4 linked regions of the Drosophila melanogaster genome follow. The protein of the gene in region 1 interacts with the protein of each later gene in a pairwise test. Each region holds a gene or a part of one and is shown on either strand. Other genes may lie near its edges.

Region 1 (8,263 bases):
ACCTGCAGTAGTGTTATTATTTTAACCGCAGCTGTATTCATCGTGTCATCGTGAAGTAATTGTTGGGTATAAAATATTCTCACTTGGCGCTATTTGTCACTGAGACAACTTTTAGATTCACTTTATCCCTCCCTCCCAAAAATATTCTATTTGTTTGGATACAATATAATCTCGGTTTTCTTAACAATATCTGCTGTTTGGGTTGGCTATTTGTGATTTCCATTTAAGAAAAAACAAACCTCGATTAGCGGTATATTTAGCACAACCCATTGGTATATCCCACAGCCAATTTCGAACTTCGAGGCAGTCACACTGGTGGATGTCGCTGCTGTGAAACGGGGCAGGACAAAACAATTGACCAATAGGAACCGAAACCAACACACTGCACTGGCCCCGGGATCGGAATGGCTGGATTCCTGAAGACAAGGTAATCACCTTGACCAAGGTAGTGAGGTCCCAGCGCTAATCAAACGCACACCATTCCTCCACAGAAAGCGCAGCCGGGAGGATGAACTGGCCTGCGAGTCGCCCCTTTCGAAGCGCATCAACAACCTGAATCTGAACTACGAGGATGGGAACAGCAGCAGCAGCAGCAGCTGCAGCATTCCGCCACTGTCGGGAGGAGGAGCGACTGGTGGATCCGGCGGGTCCGATGCAGCCGGAAACGGTGTGGCGGCCGGATACGAATACAACCCAGAACTGGGAGCCGAACAAAACCCATTTTACTACGAGAAGAACAAGATGCTGTACGACCTGCATGTCGAGCGCATCAAGCGGAGCAGCCAGTAGCTAGTGATCATGGATTCCGGTGTGCGAGTCCAAGTCCTGGCACAGCCATTTAAGTGCCAACACGAGTTATCTGCAGCAACACTCTCTCTAGGTTCAAAGTAATTCGCCTCCGTTCAGTCTTCTCTGCGCACGGATTCGGATATCCGTGTCTGGAGTCACTTGCGTTTGTGTGATAAGCATTGTTTACTTGCATGGCATTAGCATCACCCCTGATGCATACACATAATAATAGTAGTATAAATTGAGCTAAGAGTCCCCCAAACACGCACATGAATATATATAAACTATGTTCATCGGTTACCATCCCTTCAATATGTATTTATAATCCTGCATGTATAATTTATTCTAAGAATAATGTAAGAAAACCTCCATATCTTTATATTTTCCTATTTCGATGAAATACGATATCCAGGGGGGTACAAGTTCATTGCTGAGTCGGTGGAGATGGAAAATAAGCTACAGGGACCTGATAAAACGAAAGCTGGACTTATTCATTGTTTATATACGCATCTGCTGACATGGTCATTTTGCTTATTCCGAGAATTTAAGCATGGACCTGCAATACAAGAATACGTCCAATAAACATTTACATAGTAATACATCTCATCCTTAGACAAATCTTTAAAACAAATATTGCGCTCAAGGACTTCATTTTCCCAATTCGTGACCATTGACAGGGTGGCAACTCTATATAGCACTGTGTTATTTTAGTTAATTCATCTTTCATCAAATAGCTGATCAAATCTATTTCGCAGCATTCAAAAATTCGTATAACTAAAAATGAGTGTACAATTTGAAAAAACATATTGCGGTATATTTTGGTATTTGGACTACCACTGTTTTGCCAGTTTTTGAAAACTTTTGGAAAATGGAAAGTTAATATATTTTTAAGGTATTTAATATGTTTTCATGTGCATATATTGACATTTCAATGCTTTATGTCGTTTGAGATGGATTAATTTAAGCATTATGATTCCTCCATAAAATTGAAATGGAATCACCCTACTAAATATACAAGGCGTCTGCCAAAGCTGATTTTTCTGCATCTAACGGCTGGTCACACTGTCTATGTTTATGTCGCGCATATCGGGAATTTGTCGTACAATTGCGATTCGCGGTGCAAACAATCGAGTAAGTTGCCTATTCTCGTACTTGGTCGATGTGGAGACCCTTCTGCCGACCCTCAATCAGCTTCCACGCCAAAGGAGCTGGGTGAGCGGTTGAATAGTGGGCGCCAGGATGCCGTGGCCACGCAGTTCTTAAATCGCAGCGCCGCATAAACGAAGAGCCTTACTCTTTCTTTCTTTCCGCTCACAGCCATCAGCCCAAATTGCCATTGCCATTGCCCGGAGCACCGAATTGGCTGCAAAATGAGGCAGTCCGCGATAGGCGAGGACCGCAGGAGCAGCAACAAGGAATCGTGCCACTAGATGGCACAGGAGCACCAGAAGGACCAAGAATCAGATTAGCAGGAGCAACAAGTCCTTTGCACGCAACAGGTTATCACGAATTGCCCACAAGAGCACTCAGTTCCCACTCCAATCCAATTGCATCTAACGCATCACATCACATTGCGTCGAATCTAATCAAAACACATCACATAATCGCGATGAGCCCCTTCGGCTCCAAGAAAAACCGATCCCTGTCGGTGCGGGTGAGCACCTTCGACTCGGAGCTGGAGTTCAAGCTGGAGCCGCGCGCCTCCGGCCAGGATCTGTTCGACCTGGTGTGCCGCACCATCGGGCTGCGCGAGTCTTGGTACTTTGGGCTGCAGTACGTCGACACCCGCAGCAACGTGTCCTGGCTGAAAATGGAGAAGCGGGTGCGCGACCAGCGCGTTGAGCTGCACGCTAGCAATAATGTGTATGTGTTTAGCTTCTACGCCAAGTTCTTTCCGGAGAACGTCAGCGAGGAGCTGATCCAGGAGATCACGCAGCACCTGTTCTTCCTGCAGGTCAAGCAGAGCATCCTCTCCATGGACATCTACTGCCGCCCGGAGGCGTCCGTGCTGCTGGCCTCCTACGCGGTGCACGTGCAATACGGTCCGTACGACTACGAGACCTACAAGGACGGTATGCTGGCCGGGGGTGAGCTTCTGCCCAAGGGAGTGACCGATCAGTACCAGATGACGCCCGAAATGTGGGAGGAACGGATCAAGACATGGTACATGGACCATGAGCCCATGACGCGCGACGAGGTGGAGATGGAGTACCTGAAGATTGCTCAGGACCTGGACATGTACGGAGTAAACTACTTTCCTATTACGGTGAGAGCCTTGATTTTCACGTGGCGCATCTGAATCTTATCGTTTGTGTTCCCCACCAGAATAAGAACAAAACCAAATTGTGGCTGGGCGTCACCTCCGTGGGCCTAAACATCTACGATGAGCGCGATAAGCTAACGCCAAAGACAACGTTCCAGTGGAACGAGATACGGCACGTCAGCTTCGACGACAAGAAGTTCACCATTCGCCTGGTGGATGCCAAGGTTTCGAATTTCATCTTTTACTCGCAGGACCTCCACATCAACAAAATGGTAAGGAGGGCAGTTGTGACAACTGAAATATGTATATGTATTTTCACTATGTTCATGTTCCCATATTCATACTACACTTGCATCGTGTGCTTTGCAGATTCTTGACCTGTGCAAGGGCAATCACGATCTATATATGCGCCGCCGCAAACCCGACACCATGGAAATCCAGCAGATGAAGGCCCAAGCCAAGGAGGAGAAGCAACGCCGCCAGATCGAACGCAAAAAGTTCATCAGGGAAAAGAAGCTGCGCGAAAAGGCGGAGCACGAGCGCTACGAGCTGGAGAAGAGCATGGAGCACCTGCAAAACGAAATGCGCATGGCCAACGATGCACTTGTAAGACTCACTCCGCCCAGTGGCTTCTGATCTATAATATTGAGTTTCTCCCTGTATCCCAGCGGCGTTCCGAAGAGACCAAGGAGCTGTACTTCGAAAAGAGTCGTGTCAACGAGGAGCAGATGCAGCTGACCGAGTGCAAGGCAAACCACTTCAAGACGGAAATGGACCGGCTGCGCGAGCGACAAATGAAAATCGAGCGGGAGAAGCACGACCTGGAGAAGAAGATTCGCGACGCCGACTTCTATGTCCACCAGCTGACGGTGGAGAACGACAAGCGGGAGGCCGAGACTGAGAAGCTGCGCAAGGAGCTGATCTGCGCCAAAATGGCGGAGCGCGAGGCCACCGCTCGCCTGCTCGAATTCCTCAACAGCGGCCGCAAGTCCTCCACGGATAGCCTGCTGACCGCCTCCAGTGTGTCGCACGCGGCGAATACGGCGTCCAGCATGGCGGCCATCAGCACACCCTCCCTGATCACAAGCAGCTCAACCAATGATTTGGAGACCGCCGGCGGCGCCGAGCTGACCACCCACTCGTCACACTACCTGGTCCAAGGTGACAACTCCAGCGGCATTTCGGACGACTTCGAGCCCAAGGAGTTCATACTCACCGACAACGAGATGGAGCAGATCACCAATGAGATGGAGCGCAACCACCTCGACTACCTGCGCAACTCCAAGCAGGTGCAAAGTCAACTGCAGACACTGCGCTCCGAGATCGCGCCGCACAAGATTGAGGAGAACCAGAGCAACCTGGACATCCTCAGCGAGGCGCAGATCAAGGCCGGCGAAAATAAATACTCCACGCTCAAGAAACTCAAGTCCGGCTCGACCAAGGCGCGTGTCGCCTTCTTCGAGGAGCTCTGACCTCCTCCGCCTCCGCCTCCTCCGTCACCTACTCCCCCCTCACCCCCGCATCCGCCGACATGACTAATACCCCATCTAGCTGTACGATACGTTACGATTTGGCGTGTGTGCCTGTGCGCGTGCTAGAGTGTATGAGTGCCTTAACCGTAGTTGTACTATATCCTACTATAACATACTATATTTAATGTTTTTCGATTGTTCGCTCAAGCCGCTGCTGTAATAAACCAATTGCAAACGTACATATGTACATACATATGTACATATATGATTTTACATTCACTTACGCACGAAAAATATTCATAAAGTAGATGGGCGATTAGATACCGTTATTTTCGGTAGAAGATATTCAACACCTTCCATGCAGTTCCACAATTCATCGCTCTTGAGAAACATCACACCCTCTCACCGACACCGACTCTCTCGAACGCGATCTCTCTCTTCCAAAAATGAAAACTAATAAACCGCAAAACAGAATCAAAGGACGATTAAAATGCGCTCAAACAACGGTGATCAATAGCGAAGATTTGGCGCTCTTTTGACTTTGTCAGTGTGTTGATACCTTCCCTGCAGTTCCCCAATTCATCGATCTTGAGAAACATCACACTCTCTCACCGACACCGACTCTCTCGCGAGCGATCTCTCTCCCAAAGATGAAAAACCATAAACCGCAAAACCCAAAACCGCTAAAGCAGCGATGAAAAAACGCTGAATCAAAGGACGATTGGCCCGTTAAAATGCGCTTAAACAACGGTGATTAATAGCGATGTTTTTGGGATTTTTTTTTCATACCGATGATTTCCTAAAACATGCCAATGTTAAAATCACCGGTAGCTTTCGTGCAAATTGTGCGGTGTTTAAGCGCTCAACATTTTTAAAAGAGCGGTGATTTACCGATTAAAAGTCGGTGACTGGAACTGCAGGCACGGATTTGTTCTAGTTAAGTCTGAATGTTAATTACGATATTCTTGAAGCTCCCTCCTATTCCGCTGAGCGTGGTCGGTTTACGGATGTTATCCCAGAGACTGTGGATGTCCATCCGATTCCATGGTCTCTTAGTTCTGTTGCCATATATTTTCTGTCAGCTCGTTTAAATACATATGTACATATGTACATACATACATACAACTATGCAAATCGGAACGAAAATGCTGTCTTCCTGCAGTGTATCCTATAGCTAAAAAAATAAAGTGGCGCAAATTAAACGATTGGATTTCTATTTATTTATTATAATTTTTCAAGATTTCAGACAAAGGAATTGCATTTTAATTGAATCTGACTATAGATATGTATGTACCTGTAGACTATAGATTATGCCTAACGTTTAACTGCAAGGGTACTTAATCCTTTAACTTGGCGTGCACGGCGTTAAAGGAAATTTCCCACTCGATATGATAGACGGATCATTCAAAGGTATAGGGTTTCAGATCCGAAGAGTACTCCGGACTCGTTCGCACCATCAGTGTATCTTTGTCTAATTCAAGATCTTCAAAGGGTGTTTCTACCCTATACACCTTGTTATGTTCCGTTATTACGCGGAGTAATTATAATAAGAGAACTTTATTTAAAGTTTAAATAACGGTAAAAACTTAATATTAGATATTAAATAAACGAAATGTCATAGTTCAAATGAAAATGTATGTTATCCATATTGATTTCTGCTATTCCATTTAATTGAGTGAATCAAAAATCCAAAATTAATCAATTTTTTATAAGAAATAAAAGTGATTAAATGTATGGATATAGATGTGGCATGTGTTCCAGCCAAAATTTCATTGAAGCACGCGTAGAACACAGCCCAATTTGCAACTTTCGCAGAAGTGAGGAACTTGCGATAAGTGAGTGTCAAATTTATATAATAAAAACCCAATGGCACGAAGTTCGGTTTCCATTCGGGCCTCGAGCTACAATGAAGAAAGTCATAGCGGCACTCCTGATCCTCTTTGCCTCTCTATTTCTCGGATCCCGAGAGGGATCGGCTTTCCTGCTCGACGCGGAATGTGGAAGGTCGCTTCCAACTAACGCTAAGCTAACTTGGTGGAATTACTTTGATAGCAGCACTGACATACAGGCCAATCCTTGGATTGTTTCGGTGATAGTGAATGGCAAGGCCAAATGCAGTGGATCGCTCATCAATCATAGTGAGTGTTTGTGCCAAATGATGAGTGTCTTATTTAGCTCACGCAAGGCTAAATTTTAACCATTCCAGGATTTGTTTTGACAGCAGCACATTGCGTATTTAGAGAAGCCATGTAAGTCCTGCCCATTCGCCAGCATATGTGGTGGTCATCAGCCCATTACCCAATCTCTCCCTGTAGGCAGGTGCACTTGGGTGATTTCGACGCCTGGAATCCTGGACAAAATTGCAGCTCGGGTGCTCGCTTATCAAACGCATACTGCGTTCGGATCGACAAGAAGATCGTGCACGCCGGATTCGGCAAAATACAAGCCCAACAGTACGACATTGGCCTACTCCGGATGCAGCATGCGGTGCAGTATTCAGGTAATTGAGTGGGAGATATCCAGTCGTTGCCCTCGAAAGTCTCAACCAGAACTGCCTTTCCCCTATAGACTTCGTGCGCCCCATTTGCCTGCTCATCAATGAGCCAGTGGCGGCCATCGACCGATTCCAGTTGACCGTCTGGGGCACCACTGCAGAAGACTTTCGCAGCATACCACGGGTGCTGAAGCATTCCGTTGGGGATCGTATCGATCGCGAACTCTGCACCTTGAAGTTCCAGCAGCAGGTGGACGAGTCGCAGATATGCGTCCACACCGAGACGAGCCACGCATGCAAAGGGGATTCCGGTGGCCCCTTTAGCGCAAAAATTCTCTACGGGGGCACGTATCGCACCTTCCAGTTTGGCATCATCATCTTCGGCTTGAGCTCCTGTGCGGGCCTAAGTGTCTGCACCAATGTGACTTTCTACATGGACTGGATCTGGGATGCTCTGGTTAACTTGTCGGCATGAGGACATAAGTTATAAGTTATAAGTGTATAAGTTATTATAAACGTTTAAGCTGCAGTAAAGATTTGGAATAGCAATTAGAAAGTACTGCTTACTAAAACTAAGCCAGAGTGGGTGAGCTGCTTTATTTCGGATGCCTTTGGAAGTAAATGAGATAGTAGAGAGTAATAGACGAGGTTGGCTATAATCTAAAACCAAAGTAGCTTTATTACGTTTTCAAACATGTGATCATTTACATTTAATTACTTTGCCTCACTTCCTTCACTAAACAAATAAACGTAGTTCCACTAGTCCACTAGCCCAACTGACCAACCAACAACCCGGCCAGCCAGCCAGCCGGCCAGCCAGCCAGCCGGCCGACCAGCCAATCCCACAGCGGACGAGCGAGGCTATGTGGTGGTAGCACTTACAGGGTATACACTGAATCCATATCTTATATAAACGGTGAGCGCGCGAAGGAAAGCTTTTCGAAAGTGTGTGTGTGTGTGATTGATCGGAAATGGGAACCCAAATGGTCGGTTATAGGTTTTATATACGAAAGCTTAGAGTAAATTACATTACAAGTTATTATTGGGGCTTCCTCTCTTTACTAAGGAGTTGGTTTTTTTTTTTTTTTTTTTTTTTTGTTTTATAGTTTTACGTCTTTTGTTAACACCTTGGAATATTTTGATATATATATATATATGTATATACATATATATATACCTATATACACACATTAACTTACAGTAGATATCGTTAGCATGCAAATCGCTTGTGTGCAACAACTTTTT
Region 2 (6,939 bases), on another chromosome or scaffold:
TGCGAAAAGGTGGGGGTGCACATAAATTATGCTCTTATGTCATGTTTCGAATTCTGGGGAAATGTAAACGAAACAAAAATCCCCCGGCAACGCAAAAACAAACCCAATTTTATGACGAACCATTAAGTTCACACTATATGCGTGTATCCATATGTGTGTGTGTGTGGGGGGGGAGGTGGAGCTCGAGGGGAGCGGAGGGAGTGGCGTGCGCACCTGACTATGAAATAGCCATCGACAGATAGATGTGTAAACAAACACGGAATTTCGCCGAATTTGTGCCAAGTGCAAATGAGGAAGGGAAACGCAGCGGTTGATCGAAGTGCATGATACCCTGCAGGAGGGAATACTATCCAACTATACAGATTCGATTGCATTCTAATGAATTTGTTCTATTCCATTTTGTATTGTCGGTTGTATCTCGAATATTTGTTGGCCTAGAACAGCAGTGCCCCCATATTGATGGCTTCATAAAGTTGGCGCACCGAACAGTTGACATGCCTTGCAGCACACTCGTGTCCACAAATATGTGTACATACATATATCCGGAGATAATGAGCCATGGACATCTGCCGACATCCAAAAACACTAATGACTCGGTGCCTTGATCCGCAAACAGCGTTTTGATTGCCCTGTAAATTCAGTCGAACATAAAAAGCTGGGAGCCACGAAATGGCAAGGCGAAACATGAGTTTTAATTATTCTGTTGACAAAATTGTATTGTTGTTTTGCTTCTTTACTTTAATTCCGCTCTATTAGCTTTTGCCAAGGAATGCGAATTTGGCCGGGGTTGAGCACACAAGCCATAGATGATAACAAGTCGCCGGAGCATATGGATCCCGGGTGGGTAAACATCTCGGCCCCACGCGCCAAATCCGAGTGTCAACAGAGATCGGCCCTGGCGGACTATATAACTATGGTGGCTATATGTTTGTATATATGTAGATATGTTTTGGTGCCAAGTTGGGAAACATTCGCATTCCACGCATACCGCTCAGTATTTTTGCGCAAATAGACGGCCGGATTGTGTGCTCGTAGTATCCAATAACTAATTAACAATCCAAACATCCAATTCACTTGCAATCCACGCCAGTCTGCCCCCCCTTCCCCTCTCCACACCCTCCTCCAACGCACTCTGCTGAAATATTTTGATTTAGATGCGTTATTAAGCGGCTACGCCATGGGAATCTTTAATTGTTTAATTGCGTCCAAAGTTGTGCCTCCACATGAAAGGGCGAGTGCCGCTTCGTATCTAAAGCGATATCTAAATGGCTTTTATTTCCTATTTTCGCTTAGGCAGAATTTCACATTTAGCATTAATTGAGATAGTTGATGGCTCGTTAGTTTTACACATTTTCCAAATCTCTGGAACTCATATTTACCCCTTTTTTTCGAGCTGTGTAACGCTTTTCTGGAGCAATAGACTCTAATCACTTTCGCAAACTAGGACTGCATATTTACGTTGTTCAGATTGCGTTTACTTTGACACCTGTAAGGTGTTTAATCACCTGAGAACTACACTGTGTACACAGATTTACTAAAAGCTGCATGTATCTTTGGGATTAACTTAATTGCCATTTTGTAACCACATTTTGACTTGGGTTTACTTTTTCAGAAACTACAAAGTCTCACTTGGTTTTTCTTACGTGTTTTTCACACTGAAAATAGACTGTTGTTTATACTAATTTGTTTAGAAATGTGATTTTGACCCATAATCTACCTTCAACTTTGATAACTTATCACCCGATAGATTACGAAAGCGTAGTAATGAACCACAGATCCCGAAATCCCAAGGGAATTACGGGCCTCCAAATGAGAGCGAGCGAGAGCGAGAGAGGGAGTGAAAGAGGAAGAGAGAGAATCACGCTGCAGGGGGCAAACACTCACACACGCACACACAGGCAGGCGAAGAAGTGTGCGACGCGTCAGGGCAGAAGATAAAAATAGTATTAGTTGCTGATTATTATTGCAAAAATGCGCATTCCACAGCCTGCTGAGAAGAAGATCAGAGGCGGAAAAGGGGAGGCAGCAGGCGGAAAAAAGGGGGCGGGTCGGCGGCTGCTGCTGGGTCGCCTTTGCTCTTGCTCTCTTTCTCCCGCTCGCTCTCCATCTCTCTGTTTTCGTTTCGTTTTCCCTTTTTTCATACACTCTCTCACACAAACACACACACACACTCTCTGGAGGTGGTCGGCAAAAAGGGGGCGGGGATCGAAGCAAGCAAGAAAAACGAGCTAAATTGCATTTTCGTCGTCAACATCGCTCGACTTGCATTGCAACGAAACAGGGGCGCAGAAGGGGTGCGGAAAATTCCAGGGGGTTGGGGATTTTCATTGGGATTAGCCCAAGATCAGCGAACACCCTCACAAGCTTAGGATATACGGTCTTTGGGAAAATAGCCTAAAATTCTTCAATGTGACTTAGGAACTAGGATGCTCAGTATCCGTTAACTTTATTTGTATCAAAAATCATTTCATTGAAAAGAGTTTAATCGTTTAAAGATTACACTGGAATCCATATAGCACTATGCTCCATTGCGTTCTACACTTTCTGCGGGGTATCCCTATGGTCGTCACAATCCCCGCGCCAAACTTCCTCTTCCTTTTCTTGTTTTATCGTTCATTTACTTTTAAAAGCGAGCAACAACAGCAAAAACAGCCCACTGTATTGGTATTTATTGCCCTGCTCTCTGCTCGTTGGCTATATGCGCGCGCGTGTGTGTGTGTGTCTCTGTGTGCTCTGTGGAATGCACACGATCGACGCCAATGGAGCCTCACCTGTTCCAGCAGCAACAACAACTATCACAACTACAACAACAGCTACAACAAAGGCAGCAACAAACAACAACACACTCACATAATCCACTGCGAATTGCATGCTGGAATGTGAATGGAATCCCAGCGATTTTCCAGCGTCGCTGACGATGACGCCGCTGTTTGCTGGTTTTAAGCAAAAACAACAATCGCAACATCGCCAACAAGCACAAAAACAACAATAGTAGCAGTAGTAGTAGTAGTAATAGTAGTAGTCCGTCCCACTAGTGACTGCAACAACAAAGTTTTGCACATTTCGGAGTCGTTTTTTTGGACTTTAGCTTCGATTTCAGTTGCAAGTTTTGTGGGCTTGTTTATATCATAGCTGTGTACCATAATATTTGGAAATCCGATAGAGAATCGATGGTTTACTTCCATTCTATACAAAATAGTGTATGTAGAACTGAAGTCTGCTTTTGATGGCAAGTATAAAACCATTCAATAAAGTTGCTGCTAGTTTTAGCTACTAAAGAGTATTCAAACTACAGATAGCTGTGTCACACACATTCTGCATCTCATTGCAATTAAGTTTATGAATTTTCGGCTGGCTGCCTCCACAAAGGATGAGGTCTCGATGTCCCGCCCCTTCGTTTCTTGCTTTGTGCTTCGTGTTTCGTGCTTTTGCTTTTTCGCGAGCACAAACGGGCCGCCTGAGAAATTATTGTCGCACTGACATTGAAGTGGCGGCGCTGCCTCTAATTACAAATTACAATGGGCCGCAGTTACTTGTGCCACATTTCGCATTTGCATCTTGCGTCTGTGCATTTACTGTTCTGCTCCCGCGGATTTTCCCCATTCCGTTGATTGTGTACTCTAGTCACATGCAAATCGGAGGCAGCTGCTGCCCACGGTTGCATCAACACCGCGCATACTGTCACAAAGTTGATCTCTGCTATGACTACAGTGGCTTCTGCCTATGTGGGTTAATGAAGAATATGCTCTTCCATTTCATATCCATATGTGGGGGTTATTGTTACATATCAAAGTAGCATTTTGTGATTATTAGATATTTGTGTATGACTCATTCTTTTTGCTTAAGTCCATCAAATATGAAAATTAAATTTGTTTCTAACTGGAATATTTTCATAGTTTCAAATTGCAATGATTCAAAAGTTTCCTTTATAGTAAATATCACAATTCTACAATAGTCCTCGCAGTTTCTTTTAGTAGATCTTCACTGTATTCAAATCTTGCTCCGTTTTCGCCATGTTTTCCTTGTATTCCCGCAATTACCACTATTATTATTGTTATTGCTGTTACTCTAATTGTACTACTCTCAGTTTTCGTTGTTTAATGTCTTGTTGATTTCTCGAATTTGTAATTCTTTCGACACACGAATATCGCAGCCAATTAAGCGCTGTTTCAGTTGGAAAATGGTAAGAGGAAACGGGAAAACCGAGAAAAGTGCGTGCATACATTGACCTTGCCTAATGTCGTTGGCATTCGAAATTACACTGGAATAAAGTTAAAAATTCTACGAGATTGATAGTTTTCCATGGACACCAGTACCCTCCGCCAGAAAGAGAGGGAAGACAGAAGAATTTAATCCGATTTGTGTAGCAACCTCTCGCTCGCTCTCTTTGTCTCCTCCGTTCTCCCCCACACACACACACTCGCACGCAGCCGTACTGATTTATTCCACGAGAGAGCGAGAGCGAAATATGTAAATACAGCCTGTTGCATTTGTGTGTGTGCTTCGCATTTCGTTTTCAGGCACTTTTCCGCACATTTTTGATTGCTTTTCGTGCGTTTTCCGTGCAGTTTTCCTTGCTTTTCCACACAGGCAATTGGAAATGCACACCAACACACACATGGGGCGCACACCAGCGCAGCCACACACGCACTGGCTTACACACACACACACTCGCACACATTCAACAGATATTGCATTTTCTTTTTGGACTGGAAGATACGCAAATTCCAGCTGCAAACGTTGCATTTTCACCAGGCATTTTCCGCAATTACCTTCTTCGCGTTTTCCACGTTTTCCACGCAATTTCCTCGCTTTTCGCCTCTTTGTTCTCGCCTTTTTCGCGTTTCCCACACACGGCACTTATTGCTTTTCCTCTTTTTCTCCGTTTTTCCTTGCCTTTTGACGACAATTCGCTGATATTTGCCGACGTATTTTCACTTGATTCACTCGCGTTCGCAACCCATCACTTTTCGCGTGCATTCAATCGCATTTTTCAGGCATTTCCGATGCGCGTTTGGCTTAAATTTAGTAAAATTAATTCGTGGTTTTGTTGCTGCCGTCGTGCTAGATATGTTCACATATCGATAGACCGATATCGATAGACAGAGATCTAGGGAGGAGCAGCTGTACTTGGTCTGGCAACCACATCAGGTATCGATAGGATTTGACCGTGGTATATAAACATCGATATTATACTGAAAACAAATATAAAAATATTTCAGTGATCAGTTTATATAAATTTATGTAATACGACAGAATATAGAGAGCAAGTAAATGTTATCGGTTTTAACTTAAAGAACAAGACTTGTTAGAATTGTTAATGAGGTTTCAAACCATTTCTGTGTAGCACGTAGCATAGACGCAATCCTTTTCTCATATAAATAAAATCAACTGATTTCAAAGTCTTAATATTTTAAAATATAATGCAGAACATTGTTTTGAGTAAGAATGAAAATATTAACTTCCTGTGAAAAACAGAAGTTTTAAATGCATCAAATTAGTCGCCTAACTGCAAGTCAAACCAAATTATACAAGTGTTTTAGTTTGCCGCTCAGTTTTTGAAACCTCGATAAGGAAAACTCAAAGCTGCGTTCCAGAACAGCGCTATCGATAAGCTATCGTATCTGCATGGTTTTCTTTGGATTTCCTCAAATTTCAAGGCACTTTTCTAAGTTTACCAAGATGTCGAAAAGCGCGCTGGTGATTTTGGCTCCCGGAGCGGAGGAGATGGAGTTCATCATAGCCGCCGACGTTCTGAGAAGGGCGGGCGTAAGTGCTCTCAACCTTTCCATTAAATCACTCTGTTCTATACTTATACTTACTATATGATAGATCAAGGTCACCGTAGCCGGTTTGAATGGCGGGGAAGCGGTGAAGTGCTCGCGGGATGTGCAGATCCTGCCGGACACCTCGCTGGCCCAGGTTGCCTCGGATAAGTTCGATGTGGTGGTGCTGCCCGGCGGACTGGGTGGCTCCAATGCCATGGGGGAGTCCTCGCTGGTCGGTGACTTGCTGCGCAGCCAGGAGTCTGGTGGCGGACTCATCGCCGCCATCTGTGCCGCGCCCACCGTTTTGGCCAAGCACGGCGTCGCCTCCGGGAAATCCCTCACCTCGTATCCCTCAATGAAGCCCCAGCTGGTGAATAACTATAGGTATACCACCTCTTAAGTTTATTTTCCCATGATCTTCATCCCATTTCTTTTGATTATTTCTTTAAGCTATGTGGACGACAAGACGGTGGTCAAGGATGGCAATCTGATCACCAGTCGAGGTCCTGGCACCGCCTACGAGTTCGCCCTCAAAATCGCCGAGGAGCTGGCGGGCAAGGAGAAAGTCCAGGAGGTGGCCAAGGGTCTTCTTGTGGCCTACAACTAACATATTTACACTTATTTATGAAAACAGATTGTTTCAAGAGCAACTCATGCAAACAACAACTGAATTAAAATAAAATTATTCAAGACAGAAGTTGTGATTCAATTTTATATTTGCTATTTGAAAGAAGTTTAAATGGAGAGCTAGGAAATGGCATGTTGTTAAAGATATATTAAAGAAATTTATTTAAGTGAATTTAAATGTCATTATTTGAAGCAAACGGTTTTCATTTAATTAGTTTTGAGCGAAGTATAATTCTATCATAATGAATCAACTGAACTGCGTTAAAATAAATTGTTCAATGGGCTTTAATTTAATTTGTCATGAAATATAAATGCATATATGGCATGAAAAAAGAAACATCTATATTATTTCATTTGGTTATGACTGGACTATAAATGAAATTAAAAATGCATATATTAAAATGGGATGTGAAGCCAAATGGAAGTATTGCTGACGATATATTTACAAAATAGTACATTATTAATATATTTAGTTATATTCAATATTTACATTGATTAAACATTCTGCTGCATTTAATTGTAAAATTTTAAAAATAGCTGAAAG
Region 3 (7,131 bases), on another chromosome or scaffold:
ACAGTAGCATCCTCTTGCTTACCAAATTAGGATTTTCTGCTCATTGAACTTATTTATATAATCTTTTACTTTATACCATAGTGAACTAATGTTTGTGCTACTTTGTAACCAAATCGAAAGATCAATGTCACCATGTTCTCCGTTATTTAAAAATATAACAATTACATTTAAAATGTTTTTAATACATTTTTTGATCACATTCGAAATTTCATTAAATTGCGTCAAACATTTACAAATTGTCCTTTATCAAAAAGAATTATGTATTGAATAGGAATTGTGGCACATGCCAAAAGAAAACAAAAACACATGAATAAAAGCAAGAAAAAGAAAGAAATGAAAATTCAAGTTAAGCTATCGGCGTCTTAAGGTGAATATACCGAAAACCAAAACGAATTAAAACTAATCCAACGAAAACCAAGGTTATTTAACCAGCGAAACTTGTAGACTGCTTCTTCAAAAAAATGTCTATACATTGGCCGAATTTTATGTGGTTTTATTGTACTACCAAGCACCTTTATTTTATTATTTAACAAATCTGTAAACATATTATATTTCAATGGATTTATAAATTTAATAATGTGGAAATTGAGCAGCACTATAAACATGTTCAGTACTAATATTAAACGAGGAAAAGCTTTTACCCAGTGTTTTCTTATAATTTTAAAACGTTTTCCATTTCATATTTTATTTCGTTTGACTTATATTTTTTTGTGACTCAGTTAAAAATGTATTATTATTTATAATTTGTTGTTTATGCCACATGGATCAAAAAACTGAATGTATCTCCAGCACACTTATACGCTCTTTATTTGTCTGTTTAATACAATACTACAATTATATAAAAATAACAAGAAATATTTTAAAAATCTTTCAGTTGTTTTATTTTTGTATTCTTTTATCCTTTGTGTAGGCATAATTTTATAAGCTTTGTGAAAGATAGTGTCACCTACTTCAATTCGTCATGAAAGAAAAAGCTCTCGTGAAAGTATATCTAAAAAAAGTAATATTCTAGGGCTTATAATTTGCCTATACAACGTATATGAGTTATGCACGGCTTAAACGAACTCTGAGATATATAAGTTGTCAAGTTTAAATAGTAAGCTTGTTTGCATTATGTATTTTCAGAAGTCCCACACAGTGCCCTTCACTTTAATTTGCCTTATTAGTGATTTTCTGCCTAAGCTATATTACGATAGCGATATTATATTTCTTATAAAACAAGGTCAAAAGCAACATGAGACAGAGACTTACATATAACACACAAAAACTTGTCAGTAAGCCAAACGCGTCACGAGCACAGTTTTTTGTAGCTTGAACGAACTATATATAAACAGAGTGATTGGGAAATTCCTAATCGAAAGGGTTTTTTTTAGGTTGGCTAAACTCCCTATACGTTGCTTTTATCCAAGTGATGATTTTTTATACATATTTACACATAAAAAGGATAAACTAATTTTTTGAACCAACAATTACTGAAATTTAAAGTACTAATCTAAATGGCATTTACAAAAAATATAAACATACATACAAACATTTACAAGTTTATACATATGTTAGCCAACCATATTAGATTTCTGAGTATGAACAAAAAAATTCAAAAAATTATAAAATACTACAAAAATGTATTACTAATAAATTAATTATACAAAGGAAATTCATATAGTTCTCGCTTTTTGAACAAGCGCAGCTGTACATTGGGCCATTTGGAAGGGATAGGAACCTATATACGAGAGTACCGAAGCGAGATAAAATTCAAACACAAAAAAAAAAACGGAATATACTGGAGATCGCACCTGTATACGTTCATATAAGCAGTAAATCGTTTTTTGAAGTATCTAGTTACCCAAAACCAAGACGTTGAATACAAAATTCTTATCGGGGTTTTTATTTACTTTTATTTAGTTCCATGTCCGATGCTTATAAAAATCGACATCTGCTTGAATACGGCTAGCATTTCTCCGGTAAAAATTTAATGGAGTATCTCTTATCAACTAAATCCATAACATCAAGTTGTATGGAATTATCGGGGCTGTGGCCGTATTTATGGTACTACGCAACTTAAAGCTAATTCTTGTAGTGTTCAAGTTCTAAAATCTTGCCCTTTTAACAAACGATTTACCACCATTCTCTTGTGCCGGGCGCTTGTTAAATGGTTTTTTACCAAAGTTTGGCTTAGTGTCCTTTTGGAACTTCCGCGGGGCGCGGGTCTGACCAATAGCTAAGCGTTTCTTTAACAATCTATGCTTCAGCAGAGAGTTTGGCTCAATAAATATAGGGGCGTTGTTTACAATGCTTTCATTAGCCAAGAAAGATTTGCAGAAACCCTCATCGTCCTTGAACTTTACTACCGCTTTTTGGCCCAACATTATGATGCTTTCGATTTCGCCGCTATCGTTAAACACTTTCCGCAGGTCGGCTTCAGTAGCATCTACAACGAAATTTTACATGATAATGATTAATAATTTTAAACAATTTTACGAAACGGGTAACCCACCTGAAGTCAAGTTCGTCACAAGAATGGCCCTCCCCGAGGTGCTGCGTTCGAATCGGTGAAGCTTCCACTCAAACTTATTAACAGTCTTTCCGTCGAGTTGTGCTAAAGCCTTCGTGGCGGCATCCGACTGCTTGAACGTGACAAAAGCTAAAACTGCCTTGCTGCACACAACGTCGATTTCTTCAACATCACCAAATTTTTTGAATATCTTTTCTAGAGCGTCGGAGCTGTAAGACTCGTGTTTGCCCACATTTTCGACAACCAAGGTAAGTTCACTGGTACGTGAAATCGATTCTTGTGAGATCCGACGAACCGTTATAAAGCGAGAAAACAGCTCAGTGCTATGCAGTTTAAGAGCCTTCGGTATGTCATCGACCGACGCCAAACGTACAAAAGCTCTGGGCATGAGGCGGTTACTGGATATAGTCACCGCCTCCACGGGAGCTACCTTCTCAAAAAAGGTTTTTAAGTCGTCCTTGGTAATATTAGGTCCAATCAGGCCAACCACCACCGTGCGTTCGTTGTTCTCTTCCTTATTTCTCGGTTGGGACACAGACAAAACATTGTCTCCAAGGGTTAACGCTTTAGGCTTAGCCTGCAGAACAGCTTCTGCTCCAGTTGACGTATCAAAGGCAATGAGAACTGATTTATTGCCATTCAAATTAGTGAAACGCTGCAAAGCGGAAAGTCGTCCGAACTTGGCGAACAATGCGACCAAGTCCTTGTGGAGATACTCTATGTGGAACAAATATACTAAGTTTAAATATACTTGAAAAATGAAATAATAAACCAGTTACTTTACCGTTTGGTAGGTTTGTGACAAAAACGATCTGGTTTTTTGGCGTTCCCAGCGGAATCTTGCCAACCTTTACTTTTGGAATTCCTCTATTTTCTTCGGACTTTTCAGAGTTGGCTTTTTCTGATTTCTTGGAAACTGGCTTCTCTACAGGCGCTTCTTCATCATCATCGGATTCATCTACCTCATCCGCGCCTTCACTTTTGGAAACCTCACCAGGCTCCAACTCATCGTCATCATCATCTTCCTCATCGTCACTATTGTACTCTTCATCTTCCTCAGCCTCGTCGTCAATTAAGCCCGCTGCCTCTTCGGTCTGAAAAGTAGACAATTTTCTTATAACCGCTGATGGGAGAGCACCAATAAAGACAATTTTTTTTTTATCGATATATGAACCGAGTCGGTATAAAACCAGAGGATCGTGGGTTATGTGCACTCGTCTTATAATTATAAAATCTTTACAACCACGTGGCAAAGAAAACGTAAAATGGATTCTTATCCATGCAGATCTATATATACGTGCATACTATGCATGTAATGTTAGCCATATCCATTCAGAAGACCACGTTTTTTTTATAGCTTACCTCAAAGTCGCTGTCGTCCCCTGGCTGCTCGTCATTTTGCTCCTCCACATCAGACTCGTCCTCTTCACTGAACTGCGGCACTTCTTTAACAGGCTGTTTTCTGGATTTTTTGGAAGGCGATTGGGGGACTACTGTCTCCTCTTCCTGTACCTTTGTGGACTTGGTTACCCGTTTGGCCAAAGGCTTTTCCTCTCCATTCGTAGCTTTTTTTCCTTTGACGGTGACGGCTTTCTTTTGGGCCATTTTGACAGCTTTTAGAGGTTTTCTGGGCAAAATTAGCAAAGTCAAGTTTGGACTGAACAACGCGTGGTTTCGTTCAATAAAATGCACGTGGAAAAGAGGGACAGAACAGTGTGACCGTTGTGCTCTATCGGTGCTAAGGCTGATTAAATAAAGTATTTTAGAGACTTCAATCTCATTTTTATAGCTCTATTCCACTACTAAATATGGTTTAAAGTCCGTTCATGCACATGTATACATATAAAAATAATAAAAGCCTTTAAAAAATAAAATAAATATTAAACAGTTTATATAAAGTATTTATTTAAGACTTAGGATACAATCTATGATTAGATATTTACCAACGGTCTGATTTTACATGTGTTTATACATTCCAAATGGTAAGTTTCCTCAATCATCAGCTATGAATCATCTGTTTCTAAAGGAATTTATAATATATATATTATATTTCATTAAAAAGCCAAGTCAACCTGCAGTTGCATTTTATCTTAGTAGGAAACTTAATGTTAATTCAAGCAATTGTTAATGGTATTGAAAGAAAAATTATTAAAAGTCACTTACTATGGGCCAGGGCACACTTAGGAAATATAAATAGGTGCCAAAAATGCAAAATAAATATTAATTATAGGCTGCGATTATGGTACGACCAAACATATATCGGTTTGTTCGCACTGAATTGAAATACCAGAGAAGTACATAATTTGTTAGTATGTAATATTCCCTGGTATTTTTCCAATGACTGTCAAGCAGTGCTGGTAAATGGCGGAACAAGTATACACATAAAAAATTAAATTGCAGCACAAGTCCCGCAACGCACACATATATTTATTTAACGGAGTTCCAATTAAGCAGGAACAGCAGAAAAGCAGAATAACAAGCATAACCGCCAAATAACATAATGAACGGTGGTGGTGGAGGAAGTGGAGGAGCAAATGTGAGCAATGGCTCCAGCACCAATGTAACAGCTGCCGGGAGCACTGGGGGCGGAAGCGCAGGCGACGAGACTGGTGGAGATGCCAGCTCCAGACGCCAGGCGACTCGGGTGTTTAAGAAGAGCTCCTCCAACGGCAAGATAACAGTTTACCTTGGCAAACGGGACTTCGTCGACCATGTCACGCACGTGGATCCCATTGACGGTGTTGTCTTCATTGATCCAGAGTACGTAAAGGACCGTAAGGTTTTTGGCCAGGTGCTTGCCGCCTTTCGGTACGGACGTGAAGACCTAGATGTTTTGGGATTAACGTTCCGTAAGGACCTGTATCTGGCGCATGAGCAGATCTATCCGCCCATGCAGCTGGACCGCCCGATGACCCGGCTTCAGGAAAGGTTAATTAAAAAGCTGGGGCCGAACGCCCATCCGTTTTATTTTGAGGTTCCGCCCTATTGCCCAGCCTCTGTGTCCTTGCAGCCGGCTCCTGGAGATGTGGGCAAGTCTTGCGGAGTAGACTACGAGCTGAAGGCCTTTGTGGGTGAGTCTTTGTGGGTCTGATCTTGTGGGTGTGTCCGTATACGGTGGTCAGTCAAAGTCAAAATCATTGATATTTCGCAGTGTGGCACATACCGTGTTTATTATATATGTTGCAATACATTAAATTTACAAATTTACAAATTTTTCTTTTTTCTTTACAAATTTTTCTTTTACCTTAGAGCAGTTAAATTGCGGGTACTATTGTTTCTGAGAATAAAATAATTTATTAAGAATATGGTTACAGTAGCAAAACTAGCTTTGTTCTTTTCTATAGAAGTTAGACTGTAAATTTCTTATATGTGTGGTTTTGTGTAAGTTAGCGCGTGCATCACGCGGTTGGGAACACAGGGTTAATCAATCCAACTACGTCGGGCTGATGACGCAGCGTTCACCTAATTGAAATTCGACACTTCTAATTGGAATTTGAATCAACCGAAGTTGCAGCGCAGTTAATGCTGTTGTTCGCCTTAACCAGGCGCCGCAGTTGGCGGTCTGACGATTTGTGTGCCAACAGCAAAGATCTTACATAGTTTCAAAATGTTTATTTGTTTAGTTTCTAATCTGTATTTAATAATTAAAAAAAGGTTTAAAGAATTTGTGCTTTATTTTATTAGTAGAAAGGTTTTTGGTTTCTGTAAATTTTAAATTTTTCATATTTTCGTACGATCGCCGAGCTCCACTCGCATATATATTATGTGCCCGTGGCACCCCCTTAATACATTCTCTGTTCAATAAATATTATTACCTATTGCCCTATTTTGTTTACACATTTTTGTGCTTTTATAGTTTCTGTTGGAATTTTATTATTATTCAGCAGCCAAATTGTTTACTGTTATAAACAGAGATTAATAAAATAGCAGCAATTGGCGTGTTGTTGGGTAAAAGAGTTTATAACAAGAACTTAATATTTATTTTTTCTGTATATAAGCCCAAATTCAATTTAAGAATAAAAACAACAATGTTGGAATTTGTACAGTTGGAAGAAACGATTTCTCAGTGCTTCTCTGCTTCCCCTCATGACAATTGAGTCAGCATTTTTATTTACTTTGCGTCTGTTCAATTGTGTATCTAATGTTCCTAGCTTTTATGTTTTTGGGATAACCAATTATATATATTTATGCGTATTTTTAAAGCAATGCTATTGATGATCAATTAAATGAATGTATATGCATATATATGAATAATATATATATATATATATATATATATATATATCCATATGTAAATGCCAGTAATTGTCGGCTTGTGATTAAACATCGTGGAATTCTATACATGATAGACTCAACATCAACGACAAATTTTGTAACGAATCGGACTACTGACACACCCGAGCGTCATGGGTTTTCTTCAACAAACATACATACATTGATGCCATTATTCATAATGTTTATCACTAATAGGTGAGAACGTGGAGGACAAACCCCACAAGCGGAACTCGGTGCGACTAACTATTCGCAAAGTCATGTACGCACCATCCAAAGTCGGTGAGCAGCCATCGATCGAAGTAAGCAAGGAGTTTATGATGAAGCCAAACAAGATCCATTTGGAA
Region 4 (7,242 bases), on another chromosome or scaffold:
GTTGCAGATAATCAATAGATTGGGCAATGCACTGCGATTGCAATACTAATCGCAAGTCACGATCCAAATTTTGGTTCTACATAAATCAAAACTAATGAGAGTGGTAAACTACAAGGGTAATTTAAAGTTCGAACACCATATCTTTCACGATCGTTCACACGAATCTTCATGTTTCAACTGATATGCACCATAAGTTATTCACTAATTCTGTTTCAATTCTGGTGATAGATAAGACGATTGATTGGTAAAAAGGTCCATTGTTAGTTAACAGTAACACCCATTTATTCATTCATGATTCCACGCACGAGATACGCTTGTTGTGCGTCTGTTTGAGCCGGATTAGAACTTTCACTGGCATGTGGGCAAGCAGAGGCTTTTAGCCGCCAACTGCTAACGCAAAACATCTGTATAAGCCGCCGGATTATTGTGATTAAGATAATGCGGATTAGAACAGTTGTTTGCCTATGCTATATGCATGATCGCCACCCAACACATCAATTCACTCACGTTAAGAATGAAGTTAAATAATGTGTCCCAACTGACGATTGAGCGACTGCCGATGGCTACAAGTGGAATGGAATGCTATGATGATGGCTGCGATGGCGACTCTCCAGTGCGACTGAGTGCGCGATCCAATGGATCCGTTTAAATATTGGAGCGATGGAGTCGACGTCGACTGCGGCAGCGGCAGCGACGCACCAGCGGCAGCAGCAACAACAAGTGGGGCGAGAGCGGACCGCCGACGTATCTTGGCTTTTTATTATACATTATTTTTGCACTTGAGAACCCGGCGGCCGAAAAGGTGGGCACTTCAGTCGGGAACAGTTAAATATTTTGACAAGACGAGTAGTTCTCAAAACAAAAAAAAAAAAAACACTTTTTTTTCAAATTCAAATTTCAAAAAAAATATGCTAAAATGTATCTGTGGGATAAGCAATGAATGGAAATGTATCTACGGGATAAGCTATGAATTGAAATGTATCTGTAGGATAAGCTATGAATTGAAAAGTATCTGTGGGACAAACGAACTTGTATCTCACAGTACAAAGTAATCATACCAAACCCCTAAATATATATTATTAGTCAATAATATCCATCGAGTCATATTTTCTGTTTACTTATCAATTTAGCAAAAGATATGACAAATGTAATTACAATCTAAAACTCTCGTTTTATGTATCCTGTTTAATATGTTCAAAATATAATAAAACACAACTTTTGGCCTTTCCAATGCCGAATACTCCCCAGACTTCGAAAACTTCTTATCAGCAGTAGAAACTGTTTTTGAGGGACCTGCAGAAACAGTGACTATAAAGTTTTATAAGCATTCGATAAGAGGCGACTGAATGAATTATCAGGTTCGACTAAAAATAAGCATAGCCAAACGAAAACAAACATAAGATTCACTTTCTATTGGAGCGCTGTTTTTTTTTTTGCCAATACAGAATCGGCCACGATTCACTTGTGCCCAATGCATAATTTTTGCAAGCGAATCGAAAACTTGGCATGGAACTCGGAAATATGTGCCAAGCCAAGTCGAGTAAGACTTGGCCACCAACTGTTGCCCTTTATTTACACTTCGCGGCGCTGAATTTCCAAAACATCCGTCGATGAATCGGACTCCCAGGTTAAATACCTGTGGGGTTTCAGGTGGCACATCGATTACAATTGCGCTCGGCAGGTAAGATGATCAGTAAACCAGTTTAATTTTCTTTGCTCACATTACAAACAAACGCCAAGCTCAAATCACATTAAGGTTATATAGAACGTAGCACAATTCTACGTTTCATCAAGGCATTCGAACTGTCATGGATCTGCTTGGCTACCATCTCGTCTGGTTTCGTATAAGGCACTGATTTCGCGATGAGTCGATGGTTAAATAAGTTAAAGGTCGATTACAGGAGCACTATGATGTGCATATAGCTGCTGGCGAGTATGTGGTCTGAGTCAGTCGTCACCTGGTCACCGGGTCACTGGTTTTGGTTCTGGTTCTGGCCGGCGCGTCGATTCTTCTCGAGTATCAAAGCGCGACTGAAAGGTGTAACAAGAGAGTAGTGGCTTTTCGGAGAGCGGAGAATGCAGCGGCATGTGGCCGCTCACTTACCGGTAGCGCTCGTAGAAGCCCACGATGGTGCCCAGTTCCTGCTTGAAGAGCCGCACCAGCATGCTGTCGAAGCCCTCCAGCTCCGGCAGGCTAAACATGTTGAACTGCAGCAGGTGGTCCTTGGACGAGTCCGCCTCCGAGTAGACGGCCAACCACTTGGGGATCTCCTCGAGCAGATAGGGATTGGCCGGCACCAGTGCATTGTGAGTGTGCGTGGGTGGGGCATAGAGCGACGCCTCTGGTCGAATCGCTTTCGGTGGCTCCGCAGACGTCGTGTAGACATAGTAGGAGGTCAAGCATGGATGCTGACGTTGGCTCTGCCCGGTATACTGGTTCTCATAGTAGGTGCCATGCATCTTGGACACCACCCGCCGCCAGCCCACCGGCAGACCTTCGCGCTCCAACGGATGATTCCAGTGCGTGGTATGCGCATTGTGATCAATATAGTATTTCCGACCGTGTAGCGTGTACTGAGTGGCCCAGCCGGGCGGCAGAGGCAGCTCCTCGGGCTCCGTGAGCGATTGCTGTGATGGTACCTTCTGCAGCGACCCATTGGCACTGCCTCCCGCTCCGGCAACCGCACTGGGCGGAGTTCGCGGTGGGACGTACAGTGATTGCACTGAGGTAGAGGCGCCGCGAACACTGCCAGAACTGCCACCACGACCGCTGCCGCTCAGGGATCCTCCCCCGCTTCCAGATGGCACCGCCAGGTGACCCTGATGATGATGCTGCGGAACCACGGCCAGCGTGGCCGACGAGGCCGTCGTATTGCTGTAGATGGGCGACTCCGATCGCTGCGACTGCGTGGCGCGCATCGAGATGACGCGGGACGGATTCTCGTAGATCGGGTACGAATCGCTGGAGTAGCTGCCGCCCAGGTGAGCTGCCAGTTGTGTGTGCTGCAGCTGCTGCTGCTGCTGTTGTTGTTGTTGTTGTTGCTGCTGCATCGGAGAGCTGTGGAAACAGAAGAGAAAATGTGTTTAAAAATGTTGTATATATCATATATATTCCATTATATTCCTCGTACAGAAAATCATATATTGTGTTATTGTTTTAATTATTGTAAGGCGAGTAGAAACCGGTTTTGTACATCAACTTTTCTTATTGTAAATAAATAAAGCAATCTGTTATCAAATAAAAAATCTTTGAACAATAAATGTTTCGAAAATAAAACATTTCGTGCATTGTCATTGTTTAAAAGTTATAATAATATTAAGCACTTTTTGACAATATGTAGTTTTTACGGATTATTCCTTTAATCAAGAGCTGCTCATATTATCTCTACCCACTTTATCAATCGCGCGCTATCTATTCAAATATAGTACTTCAAGAGGCAGTTTACCTAGTTGGCTGATACCTGGGCTGTCGCTCCCTGATGGACATGGCAGCTCGATCGAACCGCAGCGTGGAGCCAAACGGCGTCGAGGCGTGCTGTTGATGAATCTGTGGATGCTGCTGCTGCTGCGGCGGGACGGCGTAGTGAGCGGGCGAGTGTGGCCGCTGGGGCAGTTGCAACATGTTGGCATAGGAGGCGCTTAGCAGGCCCTGATCTGCATCGTAGCTGTCACCACCCAGATGGGGATGATGCTGCCGCTGGGTGGTGGAGTAGCTGCGCTGGAATCCTCCGGCTCCCGGCGCCGGCGATGATGTGGTCTGCAGCAGTGGCGACGACTGCTGACGGCGCATCCGCTCGATCTGCTCGAAATTAACGTAGTTGCTGCTGTTCTGACTCAACTGATTGCTGCTGGCGCGGAACTGGTGGGGCGGCAGGGGAGGATGACTACGCACATGCGGATGGGAGGGGTGGGGCAGAGAGTGAGGATGCGAGTGGGAGTGCTGCTGCAGGGGCATCTGGCTCTGTGCTCGTCGAGCATGGTAGTAGTCCGGCTGCGAGTCCGTGCAGGAGTAGGTGTTCCGACTGGTGCTCGAGCTGCGCGGATGGAACTCGCAGCTGGGCGAGGTGCTCGCACAGCGCTGCAGCGATTTCTTCTTGGCCCGCTGATCGCTCCACACATTGATCACCGAAATATCCGGTGGGGTGTCCTTCTTCATGTACTTCCCCACCACGCCCTCCTTGTGCTGGGACTTCTCCTTGTTCCGGCGCGAGAGCATCGTCGGTTTTCGGTTGCACAGCAGGATCGTTAGATAGTTCATGCAGACTATGTTTCCGCTCGGATTCCGGATCGCTGTCTTTGTTTAGTCCATTTTCGAGCTAAATTTATGCTGTACGATCGGTTTTTGTGTTTTCAGCTGGTGACCAGTGTGGCCAATGAACTGGCGAAACAATCGCCTATTGGCAACTTGGGGACATTCCTCATGTCTTTGCATGACTTTCTTTAATTGCTAAATATATAATTTTAAAAAATTTAAAATATTTTTTAATAATCTCTGAAAAATATAATCAAAAAATCATTATTTTTATTGCAAGCCGATTGCAATCGATAACGCCGGGCGTTGCAATCGATAGTATCTATCGACTTCTGACAACTCGACTGTTTATATGGTCTTCTAATAAATTAGTTAATATCTTTAAGGTACACTATTGCAAACCACTTGCTGGATTCTATCCAACAAACATACATTACCATATATGGTGTGATAAATTAATAGCGGAATAGAAACCAGCTAAGATGGAGGTCAAAGAAGTGGTAGTGATTGTAAAATGGAGTGGTAAGGAGTACCCGGTGGACCTCACCGACCAGGACACCGTGGAAGTGCTGCGTCACGAGATATTCCGCAAGACACAGGTGCGTCCGGAACGTCAAAAGCTGCTCAACCTGAAGTACAAAGGTGCGTGACACTCCTAGGCTTCGGGATATTTCAGTTTTAAGATCCAATGACTTGCAGGAAAGACAGCAGCCGACAATGTGAAGATCAGCGCTTTGGAGCTGAAGCCCAACTTTAAGCTTATGATGGTGGGCTCCACAGAGGCCGATATCGAGGATGCGTGCAGCCTGCCCGATAATATTGGCGAAGTGGTCGACGACTTCGATGACGCCGATGAACGCGAAGAGTCCGTGGAGCACTCCGCCGTCTATTTGGCCAAGGTGCAGCGTCGTGTGCGAGACTACAAGATCAAGGAGTTAGCGCCGCCGCGTGAGGGCAAGAAGCTGCTTGTCCTGGACATAGACTATACCCTATTCGATCACCGATCGCCTGCTGAAACAGGCACGGAGCTAATGCGTCCGTATCTGCACGAGTTTCTGACTTCCGCCTACGAGGACTACGACATTGTCATCTGGTCCGCCACCAGCATGCGCTGGATCGAGGAAAAGATGCGCCTGCTGGGCGTGGCCAGTAACGATAACTACAAGGTGATGTTCTATCTGGACTCCACCGCCATGATATCAGTTCATGTGCCGGAGCGCGGTGTGGTGGACGTAAAGCCGCTTGGTGTAATCTGGGCCCTGTACAAGCAATACAACTCGAGCAACACTATCATGTTTGATGACATCCGTCGCAACTTCCTTATGAACCCAAAGTCCGGCCTAAAGATCCGCCCATTCCGTCAGGCTCATCTCAACCGTGGCACGGACACCGAGCTGCTCAAGTTGTCCGACTATTTGCGCAAAATCGCTCACCACTGCCCGGATTTCAATTCGCTAAACCATCGCAAGTGGGAGCACTACCATCCCAAGAAGAACTCCTGAACTTATCCTCGGTTGCAAACATTTGTTAGATTTATGTTAGATTTATGTTTATTAAATTAAGATGCATTTTATACGCATTGCGTTCCAGCCGTCAATTAGAGTGTGTATCCGCCTTGATCCGCCCAGTGGACTCTCCTCGCCTCCAGGTACTCCTCGTGCAGCCTGCGTCGCTCATCCTCGAGCTTGGCCAGCCGGCGGTAGCGCTGCAGCACCATTCCACAGCCGAAGAGCAGGGCAACTTGACAGATCAGCCAGAAGATGAACAGTGCAATCAGCAGGCTCTGGTTGATGCAAACGTTATCCAGGTGCAGCGGGTCGTCTATGCCAGCAATGAGCAGCACTCCCCGCTCGCCGTACAGATAACTATTGGTGTTGCTCTGGTCCGGACCGTGCACCCGGATATTGTAGTTGAGGGGCAATTCCTCCTGCGATCTGGTAAAGTTGTCTGGTTGCGGAGCCACATCCACCACCGTGGAGATGTACACGGGGTTCTGAACTCGTAGGTCTTCCGGTCTACGATCTGGTTGGTCAGCCTGTCGCCTTCTCCGTTGCCAGGATGAACTAATACAATTGCTGGGCGAGCAGCGCTCCACGCAGAAGCGAATCTTTACATCGAAGCTTACGTTGGCCGTTCCTGAGAACTTGAAGGCATGGAAGCGAGCGCGCAACATGCTCCTGCTGGCTGTGTGTACCCTTTCCAAAGCGGGAAACACACTGGCATCTGTGGGACATCCTCGCTCGTCGATCAGCAGCACAAAGTTCTCATTGTCCGCTGTCTTGGCCACCAGCGAGGTAGCACGAAAGTCGGGTAGTGGTGCCAGCTGCAACTCCATGTGCTCTGCCAACTGCTGTGGGCTGTACTCCGCCACAATCTGTAGTTCCAGGTTCTGTCCAATCTGCACGTCGTTGGTCTCGTGCTGGTGGGATAGATCCAAAATCTGAAGCGAGATGCTGGGATGCGGATGGGGCCCAGTGCTGCTGTTGTAGTGAACCACACCCTCGTGTGGGAACATGCTGCAGGTATCGATTGTGATAGAATTAAGCATTTTGAGGGATTCTATTAAGAATACACTCACTGTTCTGTGTACTCCAATGAGGACTCCAGTGCAATGGCGCTGGGCACAGGCTCTGAGCTATCCACACTGCTGTCCCGAACCGAAACGCCCAGCGATGTGGTGGCATTGCTCTGTATACAGCCAACCTTGATGAGCCGGTCGCCCTGGGTTTGCACATTTGGATTGTTTTGGATGACCACCAGAGCAGATATGAACGTTCTAAATAATGCAAATGATATAATTAAAAAAATGGACTGGACATTGGACTTCATCTTACCTTTGGTATTCCTGTGTCATTTCGTAGGCACGCAGGATGCCACAGCGGTTCTCCTTTACCTCGCTGCCGATCTGGAGCGTCAGCAGAACACTCCCATTGCCCGATCCTCTGGCCAGGCAGTCCTTGGAGTGCATGCTGGCATAGATCTTGCCGACG

The links.
Region 2: the proteins of Mer (region 1) and wts interact in binary tests that used the Drosophila melanogaster proteins (3 or more experiments, as listed by UniProt).
Region 3: the proteins of Mer (region 1) and mod interact in a two-hybrid assay, tested with the Drosophila melanogaster proteins (2 studies listed by BioGRID).
Region 4: the proteins of Mer (region 1) and sav interact in a two-hybrid assay, tested with the Drosophila melanogaster proteins (2 studies listed by BioGRID).

What each region holds. Positions count from the first base shown.
Region 1 is NC_004354.4:19,687,093-19,695,355, reverse strand, and holds Mer (merlin), read left to right. Parts: upstream 1-1,855; 5' UTR 1,856-1,920; intron 1,921-2,106; 5' UTR 2,107-2,398; coding exon 2,399-3,055; intron 3,056-3,114; coding exon 3,115-3,324; intron 3,325-3,421; coding exon 3,422-3,658; intron 3,659-3,720; coding exon 3,721-4,524; 3' UTR 4,525-5,659; downstream 5,660-8,263. Other genes in the region: CG14229 (uncharacterized protein), read left to right, coding at 405-427, 492-789; CG14227 (uncharacterized protein), read left to right, coding at 6,431-6,662, 6,731-6,773, 6,840-7,024, 7,093-7,493. UniProt on the Drosophila melanogaster protein: Regulator of the Hippo/SWH (Sav/Wts/Hpo) signaling pathway, a signaling pathway that plays a pivotal role in organ size control and tumor suppression by restricting proliferation and promoting apoptosis.
Region 2 is NT_033777.3:30,801,516-30,808,454, forward strand, and holds the start of wts (warts), read right to left. Parts: upstream 5,105-6,939; 5' UTR 4,773-5,104; intron 1-4,772. Other genes in the region: dj-1beta, read left to right, coding at 5,683-5,769, 5,833-6,152, 6,219-6,375. UniProt on the Drosophila melanogaster protein: Negative regulator of Yorkie (Yki) in the Hippo/SWH (Sav/Wts/Hpo) signaling pathway that plays a pivotal role in organ size control and tumor suppression by restricting proliferation and promoting apoptosis.
Region 3 is NT_033777.3:32,049,721-32,056,851, reverse strand, and holds mod (modulo), read right to left. Parts: upstream 4,793-7,131; 5' UTR 4,676-4,792; intron 4,533-4,675; 5' UTR 4,456-4,532; intron 4,372-4,455; 5' UTR 4,118-4,371; coding exon 3,875-4,117; intron 3,607-3,874; coding exon 3,297-3,606; intron 3,230-3,296; coding exon 2,495-3,229; intron 2,429-2,494; coding exon 2,088-2,428; 3' UTR 1,878-2,087; downstream 1-1,877. Other genes in the region: krz (kurtz), read left to right, coding at 5,013-5,583, 6,983-7,131. UniProt on the Drosophila melanogaster protein: Its capacity to bind DNA and protein(s), and its differential expression during development suggest a role in the regulation of gene expression during Drosophila development.
Region 4 is NT_033777.3:23,056,926-23,064,167, forward strand, and holds sav (salvador), read right to left. Parts: upstream 4,380-7,242; 5' UTR 4,259-4,379; coding exon 3,447-4,258; intron 3,059-3,446; coding exon 2,105-3,058; intron 2,034-2,104; exon of another isoform or gene 2,032-2,033; coding exon 1,971-2,031; 3' UTR 1,684-1,970; downstream 1-1,683. Other genes in the region: Ublcp1 (Ubiquitin-like domain-containing C-terminal domain phosphatase 1), read left to right, coding at 4,735-4,894, 4,952-5,754; CG17111 (uncharacterized protein), read right to left, coding at 5,850-6,768, 6,831-7,028, 7,087-7,242. UniProt on the Drosophila melanogaster protein: Plays a key role in the Hippo/SWH (Sav/Wts/Hpo) signaling pathway, a signaling pathway that plays a pivotal role in organ size control and tumor suppression by restricting proliferation and promoting apoptosis.